Lytechinus pictus: one gene and its partners. The main gene of each other region encodes a partner of the protein of the gene in region 2 in a complex. Links are inferred from orthologs where the notes say so. Each region holds a gene or a part of one and is shown on either strand. Other genes may lie near its edges. The genes, in order: cyclin-dependent kinase 8-like, mediator of RNA polymerase II transcription subunit 7-A-like, mediator of RNA polymerase II transcription subunit 21-like and cyclin-C-like.

The links.
Region 1: mediator of RNA polymerase II transcription subunit 7-A-like (region 2) and cyclin-dependent kinase 8-like share a complex: the UniProt entries of both Caenorhabditis elegans proteins name them as parts of the mediator complex. The link is inferred for Lytechinus pictus from reciprocal best matches to the Caenorhabditis elegans genes let-49 and cdk-8.
Region 3: mediator of RNA polymerase II transcription subunit 7-A-like (region 2) and mediator of RNA polymerase II transcription subunit 21-like share a complex: the UniProt entries of both Caenorhabditis elegans proteins name them as parts of the mediator complex. The link is inferred for Lytechinus pictus from reciprocal best matches to the Caenorhabditis elegans genes let-49 and mdt-21.
Region 4: mediator of RNA polymerase II transcription subunit 7-A-like (region 2) and cyclin-C-like share a complex: the UniProt entries of both Caenorhabditis elegans proteins name them as parts of the mediator complex. The link is inferred for Lytechinus pictus from reciprocal best matches to the Caenorhabditis elegans genes let-49 and cic-1.

The regions. Positions count from the first base shown.
Region 1 is NC_087248.1:26,627,096-26,634,651, reverse strand, and holds the start of cyclin-dependent kinase 8-like, read right to left. Parts: upstream 3,024-7,556; 5' UTR 2,820-3,023; intron 1-2,819. UniProt on the Caenorhabditis elegans protein: Component of the Mediator complex, a coactivator involved in regulated gene transcription of nearly all RNA polymerase II-dependent genes.
Region 2 is NC_087254.1:21,134,737-21,142,258, reverse strand, and holds the start of mediator of RNA polymerase II transcription subunit 7-A-like, read right to left. Parts: upstream 3,001-7,522; 5' UTR 2,828-3,000; intron 474-2,827; 5' UTR 469-473; coding exon 1-468. UniProt on the Caenorhabditis elegans protein: Component of the Mediator complex, a coactivator involved in the regulated transcription of nearly all RNA polymerase II-dependent genes.
Region 3 is NC_087246.1:11,388,650-11,396,417, forward strand, and holds the start of mediator of RNA polymerase II transcription subunit 21-like, read right to left. Parts: upstream 3,004-7,768; 5' UTR 2,942-3,003; coding exon 2,900-2,941; intron 826-2,899; coding exon 744-825; intron 1-743. UniProt on the Caenorhabditis elegans protein: Component of the Mediator complex, a coactivator involved in the regulated transcription of nearly all RNA polymerase II-dependent genes.
Region 4 is NC_087260.1:4,723,406-4,731,000, forward strand, and holds the start of cyclin-C-like, read left to right. Parts: upstream 1-4,575; 5' UTR 4,576-4,714; coding exon 4,715-4,746; intron 4,747-7,595. UniProt on the Caenorhabditis elegans protein: Component of the Mediator complex, a coactivator involved in regulated gene transcription of nearly all RNA polymerase II-dependent genes.

The DNA of each region.
Region 1 (7,556 bases), on a different chromosome or scaffold from region 2:
TCATTTATATCCAAGTCCAACTCACAGTCACACACACACGCACACACCCATCCACACACACCCACATCCAAGATTCTAAACATGATATATAACTTTAAAAATAATACAATATTAAACAAAAAGTAATAATTCCTTAATAAGTGAACAGGTATTCCTCAAAATACAAAAAAGTAGCATTTAAAAAGAGCCCCCGGAATTTGACAAAAAAATTAAAATGGAGCCCCCGAAAAAAAAAAAAAAATTGTCAGTGACTTAACTTTTAGCCAAAGTCAAAACCTAACTAAAACAGGTTTTACAACACACAATCTAATTACAATACATTGTAAAACAATTATAAATACTTCCTTTGGTTGTTGATTGTAATTTTATAGTACATACATTTCCTCCATCCATTTTGTTAATTGGGCAAAAAGCTCCCCTTGTATGTTGAAGAAGAGCTTTTTGAAGTGCTCCTCTACCGCTCTCCTTAAAAGTTCTAGGAGAGCTTTTTATTGCTCCCCTTATAATTATAAAACCGAGTCCCTGACATACCTCAGTTGCATGATAAGTAACCGAAGACCAGGAAAATATGAAAATTGCTGCAAACATGTCCAAGAGGATAAAGTAGTGCTTTGTAATAACAATTTAAACATAGAAAAGGTGTGCAATCCGCAATGGAAAAAATACTATTTACAGAAATAATGCTAAATATTACAATGATCATAAACGTTGGTCATCTTTAAAGTTGATCACTTAATTTATGGAAGCTTATATAAGAATATAAGGTTTAAGAATATAAAAAATATATATGTTCAACATTTCAAAGTTGAGGAGTATAGAGACTACATTATTGCTTTAACATTAGGCCTACATAGGGGCCGAAAGGGGCCTACCCTACGATTTGAAATACGCATCTTCATATGGACTTCCCATAATCTTTTCTTTAATGAACTAGCTTATCTTCATTTGTAATAATTGTGATGGATTCGTAAGCTATAGGCCTAATCTGTATCTTAAATTCAATTAGCTATTTTGTTACTGCAGATTTTTTGTTTTGTTTCATTGTTTCACATCTCAAGTTAGCCCAAATCCGACAATTAATTTTCATTGATTGAAATTAATCTCAGCAAAAAAAAAATAATTATAATGAAAATGAAATAAAAATAAATGAATGATTTACCATGTTTAACATTTTAGTTTTGTATCGTGTTTTTTTTTTGCTGAACGTTATTAACACGTTTTTTACCTTACATAATTTCTTTTAAATAAATTTGTTTTCATGTTATTTAATCATCTACATTGAGAAAGCATGAGGGGTCAGAGAGATAGTGCCGCCCATTTCGTTATTTCAAAAAAAATTAATGGAAATGGTATGGGGATAGGACGGAGAATAAAAGAAAACATATTTAAAAAATATTTGGGCCTACATTAGGCCCGGACATAATGCCCGGAGAAGTTAAAATGACATCTGTTTTTGGTCGTCTTGCCGTGCAAAAAGACGACCTGAAATTGATGACAAATAGCCCCCATATAAAAAATAACTTGGCGCCATCCCAGATAAAATGCATCAGTGTGCAACCCCAAAAAATGTTTAAAGGTGATATGTCAGTGTGGCTTGCCGTAAACGCATTTTCTCTCAATGCCGACGGTGGCGGGCGGTGTGCAAAGAAGATCATGCCTACGTAGGACATGTCTGGAGGTGTCTTTCCAAGGACCATTCTTCGTATCGCCCAAATCGGCTTTGTGAAACAGTTGAGCGATATCTCGTTCTTACGTAGAATGGTTCTACGAAAGACCCTTTCATGCAACAGGCCCCAGTTTATTTAGTCAAAAAAGGGTCTCTACACTTCTCAATTTTCATACAACTATTCGTCATATATTGATTCTTAAAAAAATTGAAGTCTTTTAAGTATTTTTTTCTGAATCAAAAATAGAGATTGAAAATTGAAAATTTTCTTAGTGTTACTTTTCACCAATAGAGGGCCTGCACAAAAATAATATGTATAATAATAAAATGAATATGCATGAAATTGCAGACACCAGAGTCTCAATAATTTTCGATCGATACTGGAGCGATCCGATCGCACAAAGACTATTTCCGGATATTGTTATCGCTAAAGTATCAATACTTTCGCACGCAGTCCTAGGGAATTATTTTGGCGACCGTCGTAGTCATGACATGATCTGCGCATTGACCAATCAGCGGTCTCCAATTCGCTGAGCTCTGAGACGAGACTGAGTCTGACTCTGACTCAGTCTGAGTGATGGTCTATCCGTTGTACACAGTGAGTCTATGCCACAATTGCACTGTGCTGAGCACTCCAGTCTCTCCAGTGAATACAAATATGATCCATACCTTACTAATATTATAGATTGCAACTGTCATGACTGTACTGTAGTCTGGACGGATTTTTGGTTACAAAAATCACATTTTTATGATTTTTTTAAATGTGTGTTGTAGAAAATCAAAAAGGCAAGAGAAAACTCTCCTTACTCTTTTTACTAGAATCATGCAGATAGCCAGATACGCGTGCGCAGAGAAGGGGGATTGTGCATGTACTTCGTGACTTTACGTAAGCTTAAATAGCAAATAGCAAAACTAATTCTTTGACATGGATATTGCGTTTATCAGGACATGCAACTCTATTACACACATATTAAATAGGGATATCCCGATTTCGTGATAATCTAATTCGAATTGTACACTAAGTAAATCGCCGCACGAGGAAATTGACACGCAGTCGGATCAGACAAGTATACGAATTACGATACCATTCACCAAATCAAGACATATTGCGCGTAACTGATTTTTTTTCATTATTTAGAAAATAATTACTCACCAAATATGGCCACTGAGAATCAACAATTTAAAAAAAGTCAGCCGGAGCCTGTCAAGAGACGAAGAAAGGTAAGTCGTTTGAGCCGGTTTGTGTCTAGGACTAGGACGTCACTCGACTCGCCCGGGATATCGATACGGTACCGGTACGGATACCTACCCGAAGCAAAAAAAAACGTGCGATCCGCATTCGCCATCCGGATTAATTGAGCAAGTTCGGAGAAATGTCGGAGGATTTTGGTACAGCTAGTTGAGGCATGACGCCGCCCGGGGATACACCCAGGAAATTCAAAGAAAAGCGGACAGGTGCCAAACACCATAAAATTTACTGTATCTTATAAGATGTTTATGCTATCACGAATTTGATCTCGAACAAACATGGGTGTCGATCACGGGGGGGATGGGGGGGATATATCCCCCCCAATATTTCAAGTAGGGGGGATGGCCTGTATTATCATCCCCCCAATAATTTAGGGTAGACAATTTATGATGATGAAAAAATGTAAAGGTTTGATCATGATGATTATAGTGATGATTATAGTATGCCATCAATCAGTTTGTTTCCCTCGCAATTTGTGTATATTGTTATTAAATAAAAACATTCTTTTCCAGGACTTTTAAACAGATGGGTGGAGGTTCAAGATGAAAAAGAATGAAATGTTTACGTATATGATATTGTTTAACACATGACATAAAAGAACCCCGACGAAAAACAACTTTTGTTGATAGGGTGTTCCATCCCACCAGTGGTAATATGATCATATTTTTTTTTATACAATTTTTAATAAGTGAAATCAATTAATGGTTTCAGAAAGAATAATCATTCATTTCTCTCTAAAGCGTATCTTCGGATATGAAGATCGGATTTTTTTTCCATGTTATTCTTGTTATTGTTATGGACTTGAATAACTAAACTTGATTGGCTCTTTCTTATTTTGGCAAAAAGAAATCTCTTTTGAGTTTGGAAAGGGATGACAGTTTTGCATTCTATATGAGCACACTCATGCGGTACGTAAATTTCATTTTAACACATATATTAGCTGATATTACACACTGATGGTTCAAGAAAATGTTGGAGAAATATCATAACATGACAGTTGAGTTTTGATTGTTTTTATGTTTGTTTTTGTTTATTGCACTTATAAAGCATTTAAAACATGTTAAAATCCAGGGTTAAAATCGTCTAAGGAATGACGGTAACTGAGCCCGATTGCGCACGAGAAGCCACACAGTTTGTACTTTGTGCTAGTCTTAATTTGTCCGAATCTGCATTTTATCATCATGCATTAAGAAGAAAAAAAATATCGCCAGTCGGGTTAGATTTAAGAGAGAAGTTGTATACATCATGTCCAATAAACAGATCACTTTGTACATGGTCCAGACAATTTTTGTCATTTTTTCTTTCGTATGAGTTTAGAATGGGCTTACTTGTAACACAAATTGAATTTTCAAAAAAAAAGTATAAGTACAGTACACTGCAATAATGAAAGAATTTCCAAGAACACAGTGGCGTAACTACGGGGGGGGGGGCATGGGGGCACGTGCCCCCCAATCGGCTGGCCAAAAAAAAAACGGGGAAGAGGAGAAAGGAAGAGAAACGTAGTGGGAATGAAGAAATTATTGTTCATTATAATGTTATATTATAATAATGTTATGTTTTATTACATAAGAAACTTTTTTTTTTCATAATTTTATTTTGCTCAGGCCTAGATTTCTTCATTGTTCCCGGTACTCGCATTGTCTGTTTAACGTTTTTAAGTCAATATACACCAAATATATTTCCTCGCACTTTGACTTATTATTGTTTTATGTAGTGACATATGGTTCTTTTTCATGACTACTTAAAGTGATTGCCCCATTTTAAGGTGTTAATATAAAAATTTCCTGTCCGTGCTTACGTTCGCACTAGTAGATTGGTGAGATATGACTGCTCTTCATGAATTCCTAAAAATCAGTCCTTAAAATGTCCCTTTTTCTGATCTGAATATCAAAAATTTTCGATCGCATCATTTGTTTAGTGAAATACGTATCGTATGGTCTTAGTGAATTCTTACAAACAGGCCTTAGAATGCCTCTCTTCAGGTCTGAATATCCTAAATTTTCAGCTCGCGCTTCGCGCTCGCAATATTTTATGAGTGAGATGCGTATTATCATGATTACAATGACTACAAAAAGTGCTTCATGTGTTTAGATGTAGCAAAATCAGCAAGCGCTTTGCACTCGCATTAGATGACTATGGTGAGATATGTATACTCTTAATGGATTCCTAAAATATAGTCCTTAACATGTACTTGTTTGGGGTAAATATTTAAAAAAATTTCAGCTCGCGCTTCGCGCTCGCATTGTTTGTTTAGCGAGACAGGTATGTATCATGATTACAAAAATTTGCTTATAATGTCCTTTTTTTGGTCTGCATATCAAAAATTTTCAGCTCGCGCTTCGCGCTCGCATTATTTGAGCAGTGAGATACATATCCGTTTAATGGCACTGTCCTTAAAATGTCCCTATATTAGGTCAGTATACCTGGCAACTGAGCGCGCTTCGCGCACTCACTAAGTGACTCAAAAATTTTGCTGGTACCCCCCTCCCCCAATGCCGTGACTCACGGTACGCCACTGCAAGAACACCATGCATATCAACCACTCCCAATTGTCCTAACTTGTGATTTTAGTGGGGGTAATGTTGAAAGATCCCCATCCACAAGAACATTTGTGTCAATCATCCCCCCAACCAAGAATACCGATCGACACCCATGCGAACAAATGTCATGCCCCTTCATCATTGCTGCGGACCCGGCCGGGGGGGGGGGGGTGGTCAAATATATTGCTGTACACACGAGTGACCAAGAAATTGTCAAACACCCCCTAAACGAGTTTTTTCTCTGTGTGCAAAATAATCCCCTAAACAAGTTTTTCGCTGGCTTTATTTACACACTTTGGCCCCTAAAACAGGATCGAGTCGCCAAAATATGACCTCGGGGGGAAAAGCTAATTGGGAAAAAAACATACCCTAAACACGTTTGGCTAGTCTTTATAAAAAAAAAAGAGCTTTGGAAAAAAAACATACCCTAAATACGTTTGACCCCGCGATTGACCATTGACCAGTCTTTCAAAACCATCCCTTTTCTTAGTTGAAAATCTGTGTTTTTGATACCTTTTAACGAGTCCAAAACTGAAAAAAAAACACCCCTTTAAACGCGTTTTTTAGGTCACGCGTGTGTATAGACATATATTTGACTGCCCCCCCCCCCCGGGGGGGGGGGAGTGAGTGTGGTCTCTCATTGACTTTGTGTTATAAATACATAATCTTAAAATAAACTTTTTCAGATATTTACTACAGAGAATATATTTGTATTTGTAGAGAAACTAAAATGTTTTGAGAGGAAAAGTAATTGTTTTGCTACTTGGCAACATAATTTTTGCGGTAGTGAGTAGTTAATTAGCATGTTATCATTAAGTGGGTCTATATTACTAGACTACATTAGCATTATGGGTCAGGAAACTGGCCAGGTATGAGTAGTTGAGGACTCGAGATGGCGCTATTGGTTCGTATCTACTTTAATTTGTCATCATGCAGGATCGACTGGGAGCTCGGGAAAATTTCAAGGTGTCATGCATTGTTTTTTCCCCAAAAAAAATCTAATTTAGACAAATCAAAAATAACAACTTTACAGAAACATTTCATATTTGTGATAGTTACTCACCACAAACATTTCAGATTACACTTTTTGTTCAGTGCATGGTGATATATCATGATAGAAAATATAATATAAACCATAGATTTTACTTTATATTATTATGTTTCTGCATGTTTGAAAAATATAATAAAAACAATATAATCCATTTGGCACGAATATTACTTCTTTTTTTTTCAAAGAAAATTCCACCTGAAATATACTTTAATCCCAACGAGTCCAAATGATGTGAATGAGCTTGATACACTCGTTTCATTTGATACTGATCAGATCGTCATGGTAAATATTTATATTTCTGAAGATATAGGCGCCCTAGTAAATTTTACGATGTTGGCAAGCGAACAGATTTCACTGAATTCATAGGCGGGTGTGTGTAAGCTTTTGTATATATATATATATGTATATATACATACATCCCGGATATATACATATATATGACCGCCGAAAGACCGATTTTTCTGCCGTGGAAATGAGCTTCGAATTTTAATTTCATGCACGTTTCCACGGAAGAAAAATCGGTCTTTCGGCGGTCATATATATATATGTATATATATCCGGGATGTATGTATATATATATGTATATATATATATAGTACAGGACAAACGTTTACACACACCTATGGAATTCAGTGAAATCTTTTCGCTTGCCAACATCGTAATAATGACTTATTTGCAGATCATTACGAATTATGGGGGCTGGGGTTGATAATAATGTTAATAATAAAGATAAATGATAATACCGTCATTTTAATAAGTTCATTTTCCATAATTCGTAATGATCTGCAAACAAAGTCATTGTTCTTAAGACACTAAAAATAACTGGTATCCTTAATTTGCCCTCAACGGCAGCTCCTGTTGATTTTTACTGGTCTTGTTAAAAATATTAACTTGCCTAGTACGGTTATTCGGCATAGTAGGCCTGATATCGGGGGGGGGGGGGGTTGGAGGAAGAATGTGGGAAGAAACGCAGCTTTGTGAGTCTATCAACTTTTTTTCACTATTTTTTTCTCAAATTTAATTTTGCTTTAATGCGCTTCGCGCGGGATA
Region 2 (7,522 bases):
GTGTTTTTGGAAACGTTCTGCCGTATCAAGTCTCTGTCGTTTCTGCACCTCCATCATGACACGCAGCGTTTCCCTGGCTTGGTGTGGACGAAATTCATTGATCAAATGATGCATGTGAATGAAGAGGAGATTCATATCGTCCAACTTTTCCTCTCTCCTTGGCCCGTTCGGACAGACGATAAGTGTGTCTATGAGGTCGAGGAAGTTCACAAGAATGGAATGGTTGATTTTCTTTAGCTCCTTCTTGTGGTCGAACCGCTGCGGATGAAGACGCTTCAAACCCTGCGACTCGAGAGGACGAATGATATCATCATTGGAAACGAATGTGGCTCCAAACATTCCATATGCTTCTTGTACGGGTAGAGGAGGTTTAGGCGTGGTCTTGTTGAGTACTCGCTCATCAGTGTAGTTAGCAATATACATCATTGGAGGGAGAGGGAGAGAGCTTACTCCCTGTGGTTCATTCATGTTGTCTGCAGAAAAATAAGAGGGAAAATAAGTTAACAATATTATCAAGAAAGTGCCAATTATCTTATAGTGTGGAAATGTTTTAAATCTTATTTGATTAATTTCTTCCATCTTATTTCCTTTCAATTTCTGTTGCCGGTACATGATTAATGTATTTGGCATGGTAAATTGGTAAAAATAATACTTTCATAGCCAGCCCAATTCAAATGCCTATTTTTAGCAAACTCATTTGAGATCAATTTTTGCAAAGCTTTTCTCTCCAAAAAAAAATGCATTAATCACCTGAATTTCAGCCACACAGGGAAAAGTTATATTCTTGCTTCGATCTCTATGCTGATTGTTTTAATACTCAGTCACACTTTGTCTTTGCCAAATACATGGCCTAAGTTGACGTAAAAATTGAATTTAAAAAAAGATCAAATTTCCATTTGAACTTTTTTTTAAATCCGCGGGGGGGGGGGGGGGGGGGGTGTTTCACAAAGATTTAACTGTATGACTTAAAAGTTAAAGTCGCAATGAAACGCGCAATCCTATTGATCAATAGACAATACGTAGTGCGCGTCCTCTTGGCATGATCTGACAAATGTAGTCACGCCTGGCTTTACATGTAACGTTAGACCTAGGCTAGACCTGATGATGTATACCGCATGTGACAACTTGGACCAAAGGCTTTGGTCTCTGTCAGCGGCGTAACAGGGGTCGCGGGCCAGGGGGGCAAGAGCCAAATTTTTCCCGGATGCGAGTAAAGTGAATTGAATTTGTTAAGTCGCCAGCGTGCAAAGCGAGCTGGAAAAAAAAATTGCCTATTGAAATTAAATTCTAATTATGTGATAGATTTTTCCATTATATTCAGCAAATAACACATTTCATTGTTTCCATTCATTTCATTATACGTTGTCTCCTAAAATTTATTTTATTTCCTCTTGGGTGTGGAACCAAGACCCCCCCCCCCCCCCCCGCGCCTGTATGCCAGTGATTGAACGTCATTGAACGGGGGCGTTATAGAGCCATTTGATGGTTATAGATGAAGAGCCCCTACTGCGGGTACTGCAAAGCCCCGGTAGCTTATTTGCATAAAATTTAGCAAGCTTACATGTATAGCACAATGTTGTGTGCAGTCCATCTTTCTTCTCGCTCTTTATTTTCAATCCTTGGCAGCCCGGTCATGTTATCGTTTTTCTTTTTCTTGTCCCTTTTCTTTTTCTTATCTAGCTTTTGACTTATTCCATTCTACAATGTACCTTCGTTTCCCGCTATTGTTTGCCATTTTGTCATCTTTTAATTTATTTCCCATCATGCTATTGCATCACATAAGCCTATTTTGGAATGATTTGTTCTTTGTCAAATGTTCTTCTTTCGCACCTTTTCCCGCTTTTTTTCCTTTTCCATAAAAAAAAAAAATCTTCGTTTTCTTTTCCCTTTCCTTTTCCTCCTTTCCTCCCCCTTTCCTTCTCCCTCCCTTTTTTTCTTTTCCCTGTTTTTTTTTATTTTCCCGGTGAAATCCGCCAGGGCCCCCCCCCCCCCCCCCCCGCCTGTTACGCCACTGGTCTCTGTTATATTGGTTGTTCCGCTGAACTCCGTTGGCTCGATCCACTCACCAATTTATACAGAGACCGAAGTTCTAACTCGATCTGTACAGGGACTCAATGCCAATGGCCATACTATGTATTAAGTTTGTATAAACCAGGGAAGTGGGAGTTGCGCGACAGCTGAAGTACTCCATGTAAGTCACTGTTTTTGTTGTTTTTTTCCTTTTTTAATTTTAGTTTTATTTTTTTAAGTTTAATTTTTTCCTATTTTGGTGCATTTCAGGCCAAAATGGAATAATAACCTGGCTTTATTTTGGTCCAGTTCTTATTTATATTATATAATTTCATAATATGAAATAAAGACGAAAATCGATGAGCCCCGTCAAGGGGATTTTGCATTGTTAAACCCCTAATGGCGGCTGCATGATCGTGAGCCGTCTGTGACTGTGTACGAGGAGAAATTTAAAAAACAATGTAAAAAGAAAAACTCCTCGAAACAGACGGCTGCCAGCCGTCTGTTGACGACTCAAATGCGACCCTAAGTTAGTCATACTTGACTCTTGACCCCCCTGAACTAAGTAATTTAAGGCACATGTGCAACACTAACTTCAGAGTCAGATTAACAATCAACACAGTATTACGCAGCTGCCTTTGCCTAGCCTTCACAAGCCAGACTCCTCCCCGGAAGTTCAGGCAGGCGAAGGAATAAAATACCGCACACATGAAACTTGCAATAAAATACCGCACACATGAAACTTGCCTCGCAGTGATCGATCACCGGCAAGTCATTAAAATAACTTAAATAAGCGTAAAATTTCGTATGAACTCACATTAGCCTGGATTGATGTTTGAGCCACTCGAAGACTGAAAATTTGAAACAAATTTCGAACAGATCAGCACTAGAAATAGGCAAGGAAAAACGAAGATTTCTCTTCTGCCGTACCTCTAGTCTAGCTCTTCGGCGCGGCGCCGGCTAGCTAGCTAGCTTGGATGACAATCGTCTAAAGATGGCGCTACAGTGTTCGTTATAATGCATGAACACAAAATTAGCATTTATATTTTTTTCAAAAGCTGTATACTGTATGATTGCAAGAACATGACTTTATCTAACTTAATAGTATTAATGAAAGATAATCGACCCTATACAAGTATCCAGCCCTATCACTTTTTTTCCTTTTTTTTGCCTTCCTTTCTTTCAATATCTTCCGATCTTCGCTTCTTTATATATTTATCTCTTCTTTTTTCCATTCCTTGTTTATTCTTTCCTTTATTTCTGAATTTTAAATTCTTTAAATTGGCTGAGCATCTAGAAATATTACATTGGCTGTCATCATTATCCTTGTAACCTACAATCCAACATGAATCTATTTTTTTCTGGACTTGTCGTCTTGAAAATTATATACGTTTTTGTGTACTTTTCTAGACTGACCCCTCCCAAAGTAAGAAAATAAGGTGATCCTGAGTTTTCTCCTCTGCTCTTGTCTAGCTTCGTCCCCACATTCCCTCCTCCTCCTTCTTCTCCATCATCATCTTATTCTTCCTCTTCTTCTTTTCCCTCCTTTTCCCCCCTCTTATGAAATTATTAATTGCAATGATCACTATATCCATCTCCTGCCATGACCTTCAATGTATTACATGTACATACAGTAGGGAGGCAGCGTAGCTCAGTCGGTTAGAGCGCATGTTTCGGATAAGATCGTAGATCTCAACGTGAGGGGTTCGAGTCCCGCTCATGCCGAAACGCGTCTAACAAAAAAAGTCTGATGCTATAGCGTTGTGTGTTAGCGTGCCTCACCACTGTATTCAGTGCAGGTGTGAATACAGTTGGAAAACACTCCGTCCATCGGAAAGGACGCAAATGTTGGTCCCGTGTATAGGAGAGGTACAACCTATGCACGTTAAAACCAATACACTATTCGTCAAAGAGTAGGGTGTTCACCCGGTGTATTGCACCTGCCGGTCCCGGCAAAAATCCAGGTCAAGTACCCGATGCGTTTATGCCCAGAAGGGCCCTGCATCGTATACATCCAGATCCAGTGGTGCTAAAAAGTTTAGTGAACCCCACCAGAAAATGAATATATTTCAAGTGCTCAAGTTCTGCCTTGTATAAGACATATTTGTAATTGTGAAGTCAGGTGATAAAATATTAAATTCAATAAGGTTTGTTTCTCTGGGCTTGCTAAACATTGTAGTGCTCCTGTATCCATTGTTTGTTAGTTAGTTTGTTTATTTATTTTATGATTATTAAAAACACAATACATATTATATATATAACAAATAGATGGCATCAATTGAAATAAACAAAATGAATTGCAAATATGTTGAATATATAAAATAATCAAAAGGATTGCCCATTGAACACTCAGCATAAAGGAGTACATTTTCTGGTGGGGTGCACTAACTTTTTAACACCACTGTACACTTTACCCTCTGAACACTTCAAAGCCAATACAGACACAGAATGTGGAGAAATACACCATGCAAATGAACTTCATTTGTGAGAGACATGGAAGATTTTTTATTTATCATTGGCCCAATGATCATACAAAATATGGTAAACATATTATCGGGAACATTTTTAAAGTAAAAAAAGGGTCGAGTTTCACTGTGCCTTAGAAGTTTAGAAAGAGATGCATTGAATAATATTACTTCACATACAATCAATCATCTTTGTAATACACTTATGTATGTCATATCACAGGGCTAAAATCAAATCTATTAAGATAAAAAAAAAACTCCTGATTTGAAACGAAGAATACATTTGCTAATCAATTCCATTGCACTTTATAAGAATTTAAACCCCAGATAACTTTGATTAAATTAATCCCATCACCCACCGAAATAAATAAAACACATATTTGAAATGTGTAGGCAGTAATAGACATAACAAGTACTTACAAACATATGTCTATTAAATAAGAAATATTGTTGGAAGTACATAAGAGTAGACTTAGAATAATAACTGTAAAATCTACTGTTCAACAATGAATATTCATAGGGAGGTTTTGTTTTGAAAATATAAAGATAACGAAGAATGTCAGTTCTCTTTAAAATATGCATATTCGTAGAGATAAAAATGCAAATGAAATATTTGTATTGTGACATGAGTAGGCACATTACTATTCATGATAAATATTGTTTAAAAATGAATATTCATAGTCTTATTACTGAATGCATAGCAATGGTAATTATATGAATATTATTATTTCAAAATTTGTACTGATCACAAAACAATATCCAGTCTTTACATTGATGGATAATGGATAGGTACTGTTAAATGAATATTGATATTCAGAATTGGTACGGTACTATAAAAAATGAAGAAAAAAAATCAAATGTAAGGGCAATATAAGATGAACATTTACACAAACGTGAAATAATCCTAGGCCATTAAATTACCCCCTTTTCACTTTTGTGATCCATTTTAGCAATTCTTGGAAATTTATGATTAGTATTGAATATATTTGCTAAATGAATAATAAATGGAATTACAGTATTTTATTATTTTTTTTACAAATGATAAGAAGGCCAATAATTCTAATTGCACAACTTGTCAGCCAGACATGCATATTTTTCCAAGTTACAATAGTGAGTACATGACATCCCAATGAAAGAAATTTTTGGTTCAGAAGTATAACAAATACAATTGCAAATGAGGAATTTCCAAACAAATAAAACTTTTCAATAACCTTTTTCAATTAATCGTTGGGGTTTTTTATTGGTAGGGGAGGGGGTAGACAAAGAGGGTGAAATATTTCCTTTAGGTGGAACCTCATCAATTTTTGCAACTAAATAGCGGCAGTGAATTCAATTCTTAATTTATCTATACAAAGAATTGAGATCAATTTAGAAAAAGTTGGGTAAAAATATGTCTTCAGATGAAATATATGGTGTATACAGTACACCATAACACATAGGTAGATTTATAAATAATTTAGATACTCATCCCTATCTAACAATGAATACAAGGGGTTAAAAAAGGTTTTTATAAAAGCAGCATCTAGTTTTTCTTCTTGTGAAAGGGAAAACAGAAAATAACAGAAGAACAAAGTTTGCAATTCCATTGAAAATTTTTAAAAAAGTTGTGGAATATAAATGATAAAAGCAATCTAGTCCCAAGTCAAGAGGTACGGTTCAGGAATGAAAGAGGGAATAAATTATTTATTTATGCTATTCCAATGACACCGTTCACACCGATCATTCACCATGTCAGGGGCCCGTTTCATAAAGCTGTTCGTAAGTTAAGAGCGACTTAAAGAACGGCTGGTGATCCTTTTTACGCGCTTAACCATCGCCAATGAATATACCGTTTACCATAAGAATGGATCACCAGTCGTTCTTAAAGTCGCTCTTAACTTACGAACAGCTTTATGAAACCGACCCCTGGTTCGTAAGTTATTATGCAACCGTTCTGCAAGTGATTTGATACATTTTGGGACAGTTACCCGGACTGGATGCAATGTACCTTTATACTATGACAATGCACATGTATATTCTATATCAAGGAGATAATAATCTAGGCATCTACACAGTACTGCTATATGAAGTTGAGAAGTTTCACTTTACGTGTTTAGAATATACACAACACCCCAAACTCACAAAAGAACATTATAAGTAGAAGTCCACCCTATAAAGGTCAATCAGTAACTGATAATAGCATAAGGTTGGGCAAATACTTAGTACATCAAAATCAAATAATGAGTTTGTAGTTCGATTATGTCGAATCATGTGTGAGCAGCACTTTCATGTCATGATGACTAGGACAGAAACAAGTGTTTGATTACACATTGAATGCACACATAAAACATTTCAATTTGTCTAAAAAAAACTGTATAGAATTGACATTAAATGTACATGGCTAATGGGACAGATGCCCACAAGTGATTCCACAACATTCTATGATTAAAACTTGAAAAAAAATATATGAACCAGTAATTCTTTGATGGATTTTACAAAACCTTCAACAAGATTTGCCTTTATTTTTCTGATTTTATTTAAACCAGAATGAATCCAGGGTGGACTCCCCTTTCAAATGTTTCAGGATATTCAGGAATGCAACAACTTGACTTTAAACAAATTTCTTTCATCATAAAAAAGAGGTGTAAAACACAACTTTCATCAAAAAGAAATTTGCTTTGGAGGGGAAAAAGGTTACCCCCCAACCTGCATACCACATGGAAATCTACTATGCTATCAATCTCCATGAAAACTGACATTTATTTCTGCATAAATCACAGGACAGTGATAGTAATTTGATTTTTAAAGTCTTCACCATCTTTATCATAGATATGTAACATAATTATTTAACCGTGTACACCATGATTTTATTTCTGAAAAAAAAAAGCCTCTCAAGTAAAAAGCCGACAATGAATAAAAGTAACCAGTTGGAAACGATTCAGTTCCTTACTTTAAACTTGGGTGTTCATTTCTACGAGATAAAAATCATTCAGAAAGCCATGACAACAAAATAGTATCTTGATGTACAACATTCACAAGTAGAACATTCAATAGTCTCTAACATACAA
Region 3 (7,768 bases), on a different chromosome or scaffold from region 2:
CCAGCCACTATCACCAGCTAATTTATGAATGACATTATAGTAAGCATGCGCAGTACAAACCTCCCAGTACCTAGCACAGCATTCTATCAAAACAAGACTTCAATTCTTTATCACCTCGTATCGACATAGAATTTTGACACTTTCCTATATTTCATATGAATTTTGGAATTGTGAGAGATATTTTTGAGAATCTGTTTTCAAACAGATACAGCACAGGTAGGCCTATAGCATATTTCAATTACCTTCTTGCTTTTCTGTCAAAATTTTACCCAATAGCGTTGGTGTTTCATTTTATTCGCTAGTGTTCACAGAATCTATCACAATGTATACGGAGTCAATTGAGTTCCGGGTTTGCGAGCGTTGCATGAATATCCATGAAATTGCTGAATAAAAATTAAATAATCATATCATGTGCAGAAAAGGTGGCCTGATAACGTTATCGCTATTGATACATTCGCACACCTATTGAACAAATAATTGTGGTGAACACGTGGTCATTATGTGATCTGCGGGATGAATCAATCAGTGGTCTCTGAATTGCTCTGTAGAGCAGGGCTATACATGTACGTTGAACACAGTCAATTGGCAGTTTGCCACTGTGTGCATACTGTAGGCTTCATAGCATTATCATTGTGTTTCTGTGAAAATACATTTGTAAAATGTGAACGCACTAAAAACATTACTTTCTTCCTTTAGTCAAAATAGAGAGCTGTAATCTTCATGACATTCATGGACATACGTACCTTGTTTCTCACACCCAGGGAACTTGGACGGCTGAGCACTCTGTTGGAGTACACCAATGCTATTGCACATGTGCTCAGCAAGCTGAAATTAACAAGAGATATTAGACAGATGGACAGAGGAATATGGAGAGAGAGAGAGGGGGTGTTGCAAAAGGAACTGTTTCTGAATGTTTTCCAAAAGGATTTGGGGATTTTTTTAGTTTTATTTTTTTATATTTTTTATCCCGTTTTTATAATGAAAAATAAAAAAACATATTGAGGCCTCCAAAATTGAAGCAGGTGAGGACAAGAAAAGGAAAAGTTAGACCTCCATGTCGCGTTCGTTCTCGATCGGCCATTTTGTTTTCAATTTTGAAAGAAGGAGAACGAACGTGACAGAACTTTTCCTTTTTTTGAGGGTCCAGTTTATGCCTCGATGTCAGGATTCTGTGACACGATAGACCTTCATCCATATATTATAATCTAGGTAAGTGCATTATTTATGTTTTCCCCTTTTATTTGGGGCGCTATTGCGACCCCATTCTACCCCATTTTGGAGAGTACCCGCTAACTAATATTACAGTTACACGGACCAGTCCCTGCCTGGGTTAGAATTTTAATGCCGAAAACGCCCTGGTGCACCCATGGGTGCATTATTGCCGCCGTCTACAGGAAAATTGAAGGAACAGCGCATGCAAAATTGAATCAAACTCCCGCGAATTTCCCCCAAAAAATTGTAAAACTAAGTACTTATAAGAAACTTTCCGAACGATGTCAAGTCAATTCCCCCTAATATGATGAATATCCCTCAAATTGCGTCATTTAAGCGTTGATTTTTCTTCTTGTTGGCAAAATACGGACCCTGCTACCATCTCCCAAATTTTTTGTATAATGAGCTAAAGAGGGCGCGCGATTTATCTTCATATCAAAGACACCACAAGGGAAAGACTAGGCACAAAAACCATTTTACACGTAAATTGATGCAAAGCGTTACGCGAAGTCGGCAAAGTGTCCAATCTTTTTACTGTAAAGACTTTGGGGGAACGTTAATTGACAAATGAACGGTAGCACTTAAGGTACATAGAATTTTCTATATTTTTTGTTTAATTTGTCATCGCTTTGAATATTTTCCAAAAAGTATTATCGATGCTTGAAAAAAAATAAAAAAGTATTATCGTCAGCAAATATTATAAAAAGTATGTTTTTTAAGTACTGTAATTGCATTTATTGGTGTCTCTATTTTATCAAACAATCATTGGAATTGCGCATACAATGAATACAAATCTAGTTTAAAAAATACCGACAATCTGAATTAAGGTTGTGAATTGTATTAGCACCACCAATGACCTTCCTTTTATTTCCGTCGAAGAGACATGTGAAGCAACTTTCCAGGCCGAGGTAAGCGATTTTGCTCTTTTTTTGCATGCTTTTTCCATTAATAAAATTCGTAAAATTGAACATTTTATTCTTCGCGTTATGAAGCGATGTTAACCGACAACTCTAAAATCCATACTGTAAACACGTACGTGGTGCGAGGTTTGTATAGCACTAACCTCGCAATACGTGTGAGTGCCCCTGGTGAGTCAGCGGAATAAGTTTCGGCTAACAAAGTCAATGTTGAACATTATTCACGTTATGATATGACACTCATTCAATGAACAAGGTTATGAAGCGATGTTAACCGACAAACTCTAAAATCCATTGCGTAAACACGTTCGTAGTGCGAGGTTAGTACTGTATATAGCATACTAACCTCGCAATACGTGTGAGTGCGCAGACATGTCATGGGATAGTCTGCAGGCACAGACCCTCATTGGAACTTTGATCAACAAGTGTGCCTCCACGCAAAGACTAGCACATACAAAACTTGCTGTTCGCGAGAGAGCCTTCAGTACACAAGGCATGAGTAGGCTGCACATTCAGACCCTTAACTCGAGCGAAGGGTTTGCCCAGCAGACTAGACATGGGATGTGGCCACCCTGTGAGTGTGACCCTTCCTGGCTTTAAAAAAAACATCACAAATACGAATACGTGGGGCCGGCATATATTTTGATTGAGAAACTTAGTATTATTACAATCTTGACAGATTACCATTTGCTATCAAACCACTTTTTTGTAATTCAAACAATTTCACAATTAATCAAATTATAATATGCATCAGTAGCAAATAATATTACCTGATTTACAGCGTCTTGAAGTTGTGTGACACGGTCTGCCATCGCCAATTTATTGTTTTCTCAGCTGTAGCAAGCTTAACAGTAGATGGCGCACTGTCAAAATTTATGATCAAATGCAAAAATTAAAGCTAAGGAGATTGATGATTTGCAAAGTCACGGCGAGTTTCCCAAATCAAAGTAGACATTAGGAGGAAGAAGTTGAGATCTGTCCAAAATGAGTACTCTTGCATACGCCATACCTTTGTCTATAATAGGTGGATATATTGTTGTATCATCTGTGTTGTTCAGATATCCGACATTGATTCATTCGAAGAAGAAATCAAAGATTAACGCGAAGCTTATCGCACACCGGGGAGGTAAGTACGATATTGTCGAAAATGCATTGAAGGCATCGCCCGAAACTTGGGGGGTGTGATTTGTTTTTTTCCGTATCCTCTCGCTCGCGCTCGACGCGACGTCAGGGGCCTGGGGCCCGTTTCTCAACACCGTCATAAGTCTAACTTCTTGACTAAATCGGAGATAGTGAGCTACTTGTCCGCTAACCGTTTCACGAAGCCCTCTTTACCAAGATCAGGTACAACAACCTCACTAAATATTTATGACACCTCCGAACCTGTCATAACTTATTTCTTAATGACGTAGTGGCAGCATCACATGGGTTAGACGAATAACCGTCGTTTCTGGGGATTTATTCAACAATTTCTGACATTTTACTGTAATCCCCATTTACCGACGGTAGGGTGTACGTGTGGGCTCGCATGTGTTCTCATTCCCTCCCTTTTGTCAATTCACAGTCCAAAGTTTGATGTAATTTTACACATCGAATTTACAATCTAAGGATGTATAAACAACAAACTTTTAAAGCTTTATATCTCAATGTTTAAATACTTTAAACGATATAGATGAAAAAGGCATGAAAAATATACTTTACCGATGTTTAATTGGGTTGAACACGATAAAAATGGTCAAAATGGCAGCCAAACTATAAAATATTTACAAACGAACGTCAACAATCACGAATGTGATATCGATATTGCTTTCGATATTAATTATTATACGATCTGCTCCATATGCGAACGAAACCGAAGATAAACGATACTAGTACTAGTTATAATCGCGATATATCGATTCGAGACATTAAGTTAATAACGATAATGACGTCATTCAAGATGGCAACTTGCAAGAAAAACCGTCAAGTCAGGTGAAAATGTCTTAGATGACATATTTCTCAATCATCCAGAGGATTTTTTTTCAATAACTCCGGCCCAAGGTATGCAATTACTTAAGTTATTTATATTTACCTGATAATGGAAACCATGAAACTTTCAATTTTGCTTAAAAAACAGTTTTAAATCGCGATCTATAAAACGCTAGTTCACTATACGTTGGCTGTAGGTACGGGGCCCCATCCCCTTCAGTCTATGTATGGTGAGTGGAGCCAACGTAGTTCAGCGGAACAACCAAAATACAGAGACTGAAGCTTTGTGAGTGGAGCCAACGTAGTTCAGCGGAACAACCAAAATACAGAGACTGAAGCTTTTGGTCTACACATGGGTAGACTATGACATGCAAAAGTGCCTAGAAATTTGAAAATAATAATCTTACGTAATCAATCATAGAGGTTGAAATTACATCATAAAACAAGTGGGATAATGCATTCAATGATAATTCTAATACAAAGAAACTATAAAAACTGTTGGTAAAACGCCACAAAACCATTCACTTTGAAATAGTAAAATGATTTAATCGATAAAGATTCTACCACGTCAGGCCATCCATAACTGGACTCGTATTTGTTGTTTTCAGACCCCTATTAACATTTGGATAAATTCTATCTCTAATTTATGCATAGAAATTGTCAAATCGTATGTTTCGGTATCAAATATTTATTTTTGATTTTGTTAAACTATATTTTGATGATGTTTGGAATCGTAGAAGGGCGTATAATTATCATCATTTTAAAAAGAAAACCGTTATGGTTTACTTTCGTAAACTATTAAAATTCGATGTCACGGGGGTACCCATCTCAACGTCCACATGTGATTTTCTAGTCATGAAATAAACTATTCATAATTTAATTTTCTCAGCAATTGAATGCTCCAATCTTCATGGTCTAAGTATGTATGATGCATAATTTACATGTGCTATTATTTTGAAAAGATGTATTTCCCAATTTATCACAATATTTGCAATTTTGTCATAATTTTTCTTTTTGCAAATTATGATATTTTGTGACTAAGGCTACGTCTCGTCTGCTGTTTTTACCGATAGTATCGATATCACGGTATTCTAGTTAGGAAGCCTTTCGTGAAACAGGTTTAGTAAGATTGGAACTAACTCCGTGGTTGGTGGATAAAGATATGACTAACTTGTCCAGGTGTTGAGAAACGGGCCCCTGGGGCCGATTTCACGAAAGCACTCACACAACTAGTTAGTATAAGCGGGGTGTTTATCAAATTTATGATAAACAAATACAATTCGTAAGCTTGCTTTTAAATCAAATTTTATACAATTTTGTGAGATATCACATCATTTACAAATATTTTGTTTATTTTAACAGACGAATAAAATATGTTTGCAGATAATTTAGGCCTATTTGTAGGTATGTGACAAAAAAAATGAAAATCATCAAATATGAATAAATTTGGTATCACTTGAAAGCTCTTAAAAAGACCTTTAAAATGATACCAAGAACTTTAATTTTCATCAAGAAATTAGAAAGTTATTCCAGTTTAAGTTGCGCATATTCATCCAAATTTGTGGTCATTGTCTTAATGTAAAGTCAATGCAACGTTCTCGCCAACACGCGTCACCTTTGTCGGCCGCCGACAACCGTGAAAGTTTTGTGAGCCTTGGCCGACAACCGTGAATGTCCCCGACAACCCTGACCGACAACCGTGAAACACGCTAGATATTGTCATTACTAAGTTTTGAAATGAACGAGATTCATCATGAAAGTTTTGTTTTTAAGACATACTTGTCAGAAATTTGAGCCTCGCCACTGAGTCTGCTTCGGTTTCGAGCAGAGAACCCTCCTAAATTCCGTCTTCTCTCCATTCACTGGCTTTTCGCTCGATCAGTGCCCTTACTATTTAGCGTGCGTGCAACTCGCTCGAAAGGCCCACTGTCATGACTGTGCAGCATGCGCTGCATGCATATCGCCCAGAGCGGATATCTCTCCGTCTCTCCCCCTTTTCTTTTTTTTCTAACGAGACTTCGTGTTTGGCGGCAGTGGCCTCTCTCCTCTTCGCTCAAAAATTGTATTCGTGAGGGCAATTGCCGCCTTAATAAAATACATAAGAACAAGTGGGGATATGTCATCATCTGCCAAAAACAATGCTTGAGTCTTTATCTAGTTTTCAGATGGACACTATTATTAAACCAGTCGTTCTTGGTTAATATTAAATCCTCGAAAGTTGCAGTTAAAAAAACAACAAATACAAAATCAATAATAAGCCGTTTTATCACTCTGAGAAAAAAAAGATAAATTCCCGTTTTTGCCATATTCTGATTGAAATTCAATGGGGCAGGGCAGGAGCATTGAGTGCCAGGATATTTGACTTGAAATGCGGAGGGGGCAATAGCCGTAAGACAATGTGATTTTCTGTAATGTATTTTGTGAATTATAGAGATATCAGAATAATACGACCCGCCCGAACCTCTCCTGTTTTTCCTACTTTTCTTACAATTCTTTCTCTTTCTCCCTCCTTCCCAATTTTCACTCGGAAAATCAGAAGGCAACCCCTACCCTTCTCTAAGGACATATTCCCGCGCATAATAGGGAATGTTGTTAGAATGCAATTTCTCGAAATTCGCTCGTTCGATGAAATACATTGCCTTGGTCGGTAATATAATCCTGAAGATGATTTCGATGAGAAATACCGCACTACCACAAAATAGAAATACAAAATAGAATCACATCATGAACATGTCAATAAATAGGGATAAATGGGTCCGTTGATGATAATAAGTATGAATAGGTACTGACCATCCATGCGCCACCGGCATCGTAACTAAGGGCAGACTCGCCATGAATGTGGATTTGCCACGATGTCCACGTGGGGAGAAATCGGACCACTTCTTCTTTCCTTGGTTGGTAACCACGTTCAATTGGTGATTAGTCTTTCTCTATAACGCACACTTGCAATTGCTTTTATTTTAATCTTCAATTCGGCTGCACTGTACTGTTAACCAATAACCTGTAACTGTAATATTGAATTTACTTGTATATCTAAATCAACATATCGCTAATGATTCGATTCAAAGATGAGAACCTGAGAAAACTTGTAATCGCGGATTTAGAGAAAATTCAAAGCAAAATAGAGTCTGAATATGCAGACTTGCAGACAAGCATCATGTTTGGCATGTTTTGTAAACAAAGGCGCGTGCCCTACTTAATTGAATGATCCGAATCATGATTACGCAGTGAAAATCCTTGGCTGTGGTCAAGCTCATGAGGCCCTTGGGAATAAGGGATTTATTGTCAGTCAGTGCCTTTTTAGGACACACAGAATGAACAGCGGTACTTGGAAAAGAGAGGTGTATTCGATCATGATTATGTCATATCATAGACCTATTTATGGTCATATTTAGTCGTTACTTTTTCTCAAATTGTGATTTGTATTCTTGTTAAAAGTTAGACCTAGATGTTTGACAAAAAATACGATTCAGTAAGTCTTTCCCATAAAATAAATGAGTATGCATCGTGTTTTGTGATTATGAAAGACCCATGACAGAGTGAGTATCAAGTTGATTTCATTTTAATCAAGTTCGGACCTTTCAGTGTCTCTCTTGCTCTCACTCTCTTTCAGTCTTTCTTCCTCAGTTTTAACATGAAAACCAAAGGTGTAGATTCTTGAATTTCCCATT
Region 4 (7,595 bases), on a different chromosome or scaffold from region 2:
GCAAATAATGAGTAATGGAATAATTTTGAAGAATTTGTAATATCATTTATGTATACGAGGAACAGGAGGGGCCCGAGAATAGAGCCTTGCGGAATTCCATATTTAATAAGTTTACGCTGTGATTGGACACCATTGACCATGACAAACTGATATCTGTTATGCAAATAATGTTTGAACCAATCTAACGCTAACCCTCTGACACCATAAGCATTCAGTTTACGTAAGAGTATGTCATGGTCAATGGTGTCAAAAGCTTTTGACAGATCCATGAATAAACCAAGACAATAATTGCCATCATCATTTTTTTGTGATATAAAATTTGCAATGTTTAATGCACCCATGGAAGTTGAAAAATTTTCACGAAATCCAAATTTCTCTGGTATGAGGATATCATTTGCTTGAAGGTGGGAATATAATCTTTTGTGAATAATCTTTTCTAACATTTTCGAAAAAAATGGTAATAGTGATATGGGTCTATAATTATCCAAACAGGTATTATTTTGAATATTTTTAATTTGTCAGGAACAATCCCTTGTGATAAGGATTTATTAAATATTGCACAAAGTTGTTCAACAAATAAATGAATTGAGTCCTTAAGAACTCTGGGGGTCAAGTCATCAAACCCACTAGCTTTTGATGATTTCATAGAAGAGAAATTTTTAGAATTTCATGAATAGATGTAGGTTTTAGGAATAATGAAAAGTAGCTCTTATCAACAGGCAAGAAGTCATGAAATATGTGAGAAGAGGTAGGTATATTATGTGAAATTCTTTCAGCAATATTGACAAAGTAATGGTTAAAGGAATCTGCGATCACACGAGGTGAGGACATATGAACATTATCATTATACATTTTAAGTGGTATATTTTGTCGCCTCTTCCCCAATAACCCATTGATATTATTCCAAGTTTTTTTTTCATGTCACCTTTGATCTTATAAAACTTGTTATGAAAATATCTTTTTTTAGACGATCTGATAATAGTAGTAAGTATATTTTTGTATGTGACATATTTTTTCTTACTAACAGATTTCTTCAAATATTTATGATATAATTTCTGTTTGACGTTAATTGATTTAAGCAGTGGCGTAACTACGGGGGGGGCATGGGGGCACGTGCCCCCCAATCGGCTGACAAAAAAAAAAAAAAAAAACGGGGAAAAGGAGAAAAAGAGGGAGAAAGGAAGAAAACGTTGTGGGAAAGAATACATTATTGTTCATTATAATGTTATATTATATCATAATATCATTATGTCATAATATCATAATTATGTTTTGTTATATTACATAAGAAACATTTTTTTCATAAATTTATGAAACATAATTTGCTCAGGGTCTATGTCTTCATTGTTCCTGGTGCTCGCATTGTCTGTTTACCGAAATCCTGTAATCTTAATATAAGATATTTCCTGTCCGTGCTTACGTTCGCAGTAGTGGATTGGTGAAATATGTCTGCTCTCCATGAATTCCTAGAATCGGTCCTTAAAAAATTTTCAGCTCGTGCTACGCGCTCGCATCATTATTTGGTTAGTGAACTACGTATGGTCTTCGTGAATTCTTACAAACAAGCCTTAAAATGCCCCTCTTCAGGTTTGAATTTCCTAAATTATCAGCTCGCGCTCCGCGCTCGCAAGATGTGATTAGTGAGATGGGTATGTTAATCAAGATTCCAAGTGCTTTATGCGCATGTTTAGATGTAATTTTAACAAAATCAGCAAGCGCTTATTGGCACTCGCATCAGATGACTATGGTGAGATGTGTATACTCTTAATGGATTCCTAAAATATATAGTCCTTAAAATCTTCCTGTTTGGGGTCAATAATTACAAAAATTTCAGCTCGCGCTTCGCGTTCGCATTATTTAGTGAGACAGGTACGTATCATGATTTGATTACAAAAGATTGATGATAATGTCCCTTTTTAGGTCTGAATATCAAAAATTTTAAGCTCGCGCTTCGCGCTCGCATTATTTGACAAATGAGAGACATATCCATTTAATGGCACTGTCCTTAAAATGTCTCAGGTCAGTATACCTGGCAACTGGGCGCGCTTCGCGCGCTCACTTAGTGACTCAAAATTTTTGCTGGTGCCCCCCCCCCCAATGCCATGACCCACGGTACGCCACTGGATTTAAGTATACCAGGTGTGACCCATGGTCTTTTACCCTTCAACTTATAGTTGTGCCTCTGAACAACAGGAAAACAATCATTATACAACTTGGAAAATAAATGTATAAATAAATCATACGATTTGTTTGCATCAGTATTGCTATTAACAGGAGTCCAATCAACATTCAATAGTTTGTGTTTAAATTCTAAGAGTCGCTCATGTGTAATAAGCCGACCACTGGTTGTGGTGTTGCCATCAACACATTCAATAATCTGGCAGACAACGATGACATAAGGAAAAAATAACTGGTTATGGAGAGTTGTTGGACAACCAGGCGCGGATCCGGGAGATTAATTGCTTACCCCCCCCCCCCCCCTCCCTCAGCAAAAGGGGAAAAAGAAAGAGAGAAGGAAATAAAGGGAAGAGAAAGAGGAGTATAAAGGGAAAATGAAGAGGGAAGAAAGAGGCTTTAGCTGATCCGAAAAAGCCCACAGACCCATTGAAAAGGTAGTGAGGGGGCGGCCCGGCGGGAGGGGGGTGAAGGAATTATATGTAACAGAAACAACCGAAAGAGAGAGAAATGAAAGGAAAGTAATATCAGTTGTGATTATTAAAAACAAAATCGTGAAGCCATAGGTTGGAATGTTAATGAACAGATGATGATGACACAATGTTGGAAGCTTGTTTCGCTGGAGATACGTTGAAGCACCCAAGACTGGGATATGTAAGGTTGGAAAGATGTTGGACATTGAGATGATGGTAACAACGTTGGAATCTTTAATTGTGCCAAACCCAACTTGTAAACATGATTTTCCAGCTCTTAATTGCTGTCTTTTCATCTTTGATTGTTAACATGTTTGATTATCAATAAAGATAATTTTTTTAATTGAATTGAATCCTTTTTGTTGCTTAATTGGTTGTTTAAAAAGGAATAAAGTACAATGTAAATTTGGTCTCGTTGGTAATATGACGTTGCACCAACGTAATGCCAAAACTGGACCGAAGTTGAGCAAATGTTGACATATTCTTTGTCTTTCATTAGGCATTCATGAATATTCATTATCTAGTCACCAAAATTTTGTAACAATTAAACCGCAAATAACGTAATACGCAATTATTCCTCCCTCATAAGTTTCACAAAAGTATGTAGCTTTGTCGCCATATCATTTTCATAAAATAGATAATTCATAGACGAAATGTTCAAGGTTAAATAAAGAAACCTGTTATTAACTGCAATTTTCTAAGTATCGCAAAGTCGTCATATATAAATAGGAATGACTGGCAGGATAGGTGTAGGATATGTTAGGATTAGGATATAGGATTGTAGAATAGGATAAGCAATTAGGGAATAAGAGTGTAAAAGTGGCCCTCACTTTGAAACTAATTAATGTTTTTATGATTGCCATACGTAGGGATTACGTTGGCCCAGCGTCAATAACTGATGTTAGGCCAATGTTGGAATTTTACGCAGATCCAACATTAAATTTGATGTTCATAATTGTTTTATTGTTTTAAAATTGACCGTTGGCGGGGTGGACATTTTAACATTGATTAGCCTAACGTCAATATATGATGTTGGGTCAATGTTGTAATCATACACAAGCACAACATTATTGTCTGATATTGGCCCAATTAACGTTTTAATTGATGTTGGCTCGATGGACACTTTTTTTTACACGGCTCTAACAATTTGATGTTGGTTCAATGTTTCAAATTGACCGTTGGCGGATCAGCCATTTTAACATTAGCACAACGTCAATAAATGATGTTGGGACAATTTTGGAGGCATTTTATAGATAGACCTAACATTGTTATCTGATGTTGGTTCAATGTCCTCAATCGGATGTTGGCTCGGCAAATACTTTAACATTAGTCCAACGTCAATAAATGATGTTAGGCCAATATTAGAATTTTACAAAGGTCCAACATTACAATTTTATGCTGGTTCAATGTTTTAAAATTGACCGTTGGCAGGTCGGATATTTTAATATCAGTCCAACGTCAATAAATTGGGCCAATGCATCGCTCGACATTTGCCCGACCTTAATATAGCACAACCATGGCGTAATTTCCTTCAGCAAGAAACTGATCCACAATGTGCTGCACTCAACCCAGGTGAGGTAAATGGGTACCGGTAGGAAGTTATTCCTCAAGAAGCTGTGAGCGCTATGAACGCCTAGCTTAGCCGGGTAATATAGGAGCGCCTTGAGCACCTAAAAAGGTGGATATGTGCGCAGTATAAATACCCTATATTACAACGTTGGCCCAATGTAAGTTTGCTAGCTGGGATCTGGGGTTGGGATAATCTCATGGTGAAAATATCTTTTTGCACCAAATGCCCATTTTGACATATAAGTGCCTTTTCTGGCTTTGCCCGACCCCCTCCCCCTAACGAAAGTATGTTCCGCCGCCCCTGTTATGACAGCAAAAACTTTCACTGAATTACGGGGGCGGGGATTCAGGATGGGGTGACTGCGCTCTGTGTATTTCCTTTTTTTTTGCTTCGTCAGAAACACCATTAACAATTTACACCAATTACAATTGACACAAAGAGCAGGAGCGAGAAAAGTCGTTATTTATTGATTAATTGGAGGTTTTTCGCTATAAAAATGGCAGGAAACTTTTGGCAAAGTTCTCATTGGTAAGTGTATTCTTTTAAAGATTAATCTGTTGACTAAGGAGCGTTTCGTGTATTATTTTGTGAGCAAATATGCGTCGGTATTTTGCCGCACAGTACCGGTACTACTGGCTGTGCCTGTGCCTGGCTCAGTCAATAATGCACTTCCCCTGGGCTGGCCTCGGCACCCGTACCCGGTACTCCCTACTAGCCTGGAGGCGTATGGGGAGTAAAAATCATGATTCATGATTCATTCATTCTCTTTTTCCTCCACAAAATTGATGTATTCTGTACTGACATGGTTCAAACCTCCTAAACCAGAATGACAGCGTATATGGAACATATATCTGTTTACCTTGGACCCTAGGAATCTCCAAGAGTCCAAATAGGCACTTCAGTCGGGTGGGCGATCGCGCGGACACAGCGCTAGACGTAGATTTTTGCATTGCAGTGAATGGCGAGCGCCTATCTAACACACACAGTTCGCTCCGCTCGGCACTTTGGCCGAGCGCTGGAGTTGCATTCGGCATTGCTCGAAAAGACAGAGTCAGTTTCTTCCTTTATTCCGCTGATTTTGATTGGTCAAAAATTCCCGCGGTTGCTTCGTACATCTTCAGTAAACATCGGAAATATACAAGACAGAGTTTCCCTTACCTTCATGCGAGGGAAGGACCTAATATTCAGGTATTTATTTTTCTTTGCTTGAAATCACCTTCTTGTAATCATCGGATCCCTTGTAAACTCGGTCAGTAATAAAATTGTATATTTGAGAACATTTTGTGAAATTCTAATCAAATTTGGTCCGTAGAGAGTTTGCGAATATGAGCTTCAGTTTTGAGTGTCATGGGGTGTTTGTGAATCTGACTCGGCCGATCGAGCAGGGTTGTTTTGAGCGTGTGAGTGACGTCATCCCCACTGCGTTGGGCCTGAGATTAGTCTTGGTATTCAGACACAGTATGTTTCAGCCGTTGTATATTTTTTTTAATTACGATTTGAGCTCTGTTAATTATGAAAATCAAATTGTTATTTTGAAAATAATTTTGTAGAATTCGTGTGAAATAAGTTTTAAGAGCAAAGCTGCAAGTAAACTTCAAGAATTTTGTTTGATAAGTGATTTTTTTGTTGGAATGCGTCTGAATGTCTAGAATATGGTATTGTTAATGAAAGTCGTATTTTTGAATGGCACAGAAAGCTCCTTGCATGAATTTAATTTAGAAATCGGTTTACATACATGAGATGTGTTTTATGAATTTGATATCTGATTTATGGACCTTTGTTCTGGTGTTAATTATTAATTTGAAGATATTATGAAAAAGTAAGAGAAGACAATAATGAGGCAATTAACAGTGATGATACATTAATAATATGAGACAATAAACATTGCGACAATTATAATAATCATTATGATTATAATGATAACAATTATAATTATAATGATAATAATTATAATTGTAATAATTATTGAGACATCAATTCTAGTATTTATTGACAATAATAAGTATTACAATAATCATTATTATAATAAAATAATTGTTATGAAAACAATTATAATGATGTAATTTGAATTGTAATAATTACTGAGACAATAATATTAATGAGATATCAATAATAATCATAATAATAATACTTATAATTAAAATAAATACAATTGTAGAAATAATTATAATTATAGTAATTATAATTATAGGCCTTATAATTAATGAGACAATAATAACTATTATTACAATAATAATAATTATAACATAATTATAATGATAACAATTATAATGAAAGTAATTATGATTGTAATAATTACTGAGACAGTAATATTGAAAGGTCATCAATAATTATTATTATAAAAATTATTATGATAATAAACATAATCATAATTATAATTAAAGGCCTTATAATTATTGGGTCAATAATAACTGTTATTACAATAATAATAATTATCATAAAATGATTATAATGATAATTATAATGAAAATAATTGTACTTGTAATAATTACTGAGACAGTAATATTGATAAGTCATCAATAATTATTATTATTATAAAAATTATTATAATTATAAAAATAATCATAATTATAATTATAGGCCTTATAATTATTGAGACAATAATAATTATTATTTCAATAATAATTATTATTATTGAATAATTATAACTATAATTACTATAATGATAGTAATTATAATTGTAATAATTATTTAGAAAATAATATTAATGAAACAAAAATAATTATCATAATAATAATAATTATTATAATTATAATACTAATTGGGACAATAATGAAACAATGATGAGACTATAATGATATCAACAATTTTATTGAGACCATAATAACAAGAAAATAATGAGATAATAGACAATTAAAATCAATCTGTTTTTATTTTTTTCTAGAAATCCTAAGATTATTATTTTAATTCTCTTTCTTTGATTACAAATTATATTCATTGAAAACTTAATTTCTAATGTTCAAGCAAAGAAAATCAATATCAAGTCATGTTTACCCTGTGCACAAACCTACCACAGGGCAATTACCCCCGAAATAGGGTTAGGTTAGGTGTAGATTTTTCGATAGGGGTACAGTGTAGTTGTCCGGGGGGGGGGGTAATTGTCCAGGGTGGGTGGGGGGATGGGGGAGGGGAATTGTCCGAGGGTTGGGGGGTGGGGGATTATCATCCAGGGGTAGTTGCTGGAACCAAAGAAATCATATGCCAGGGCTCCACACTAACCAATTATTTCTACTGGTCCAACCTATTCATGTCGGACCAGTAGATACCCAGTTTTTCAAATTTTTACTGGTCCGAACCTAAAATCTACTGGTCCCAAAAAATAAAGAAAACATTAAAAAAAGGCACAAGTTTATTTTTCTAGCCTTTCGTCCCCCCCC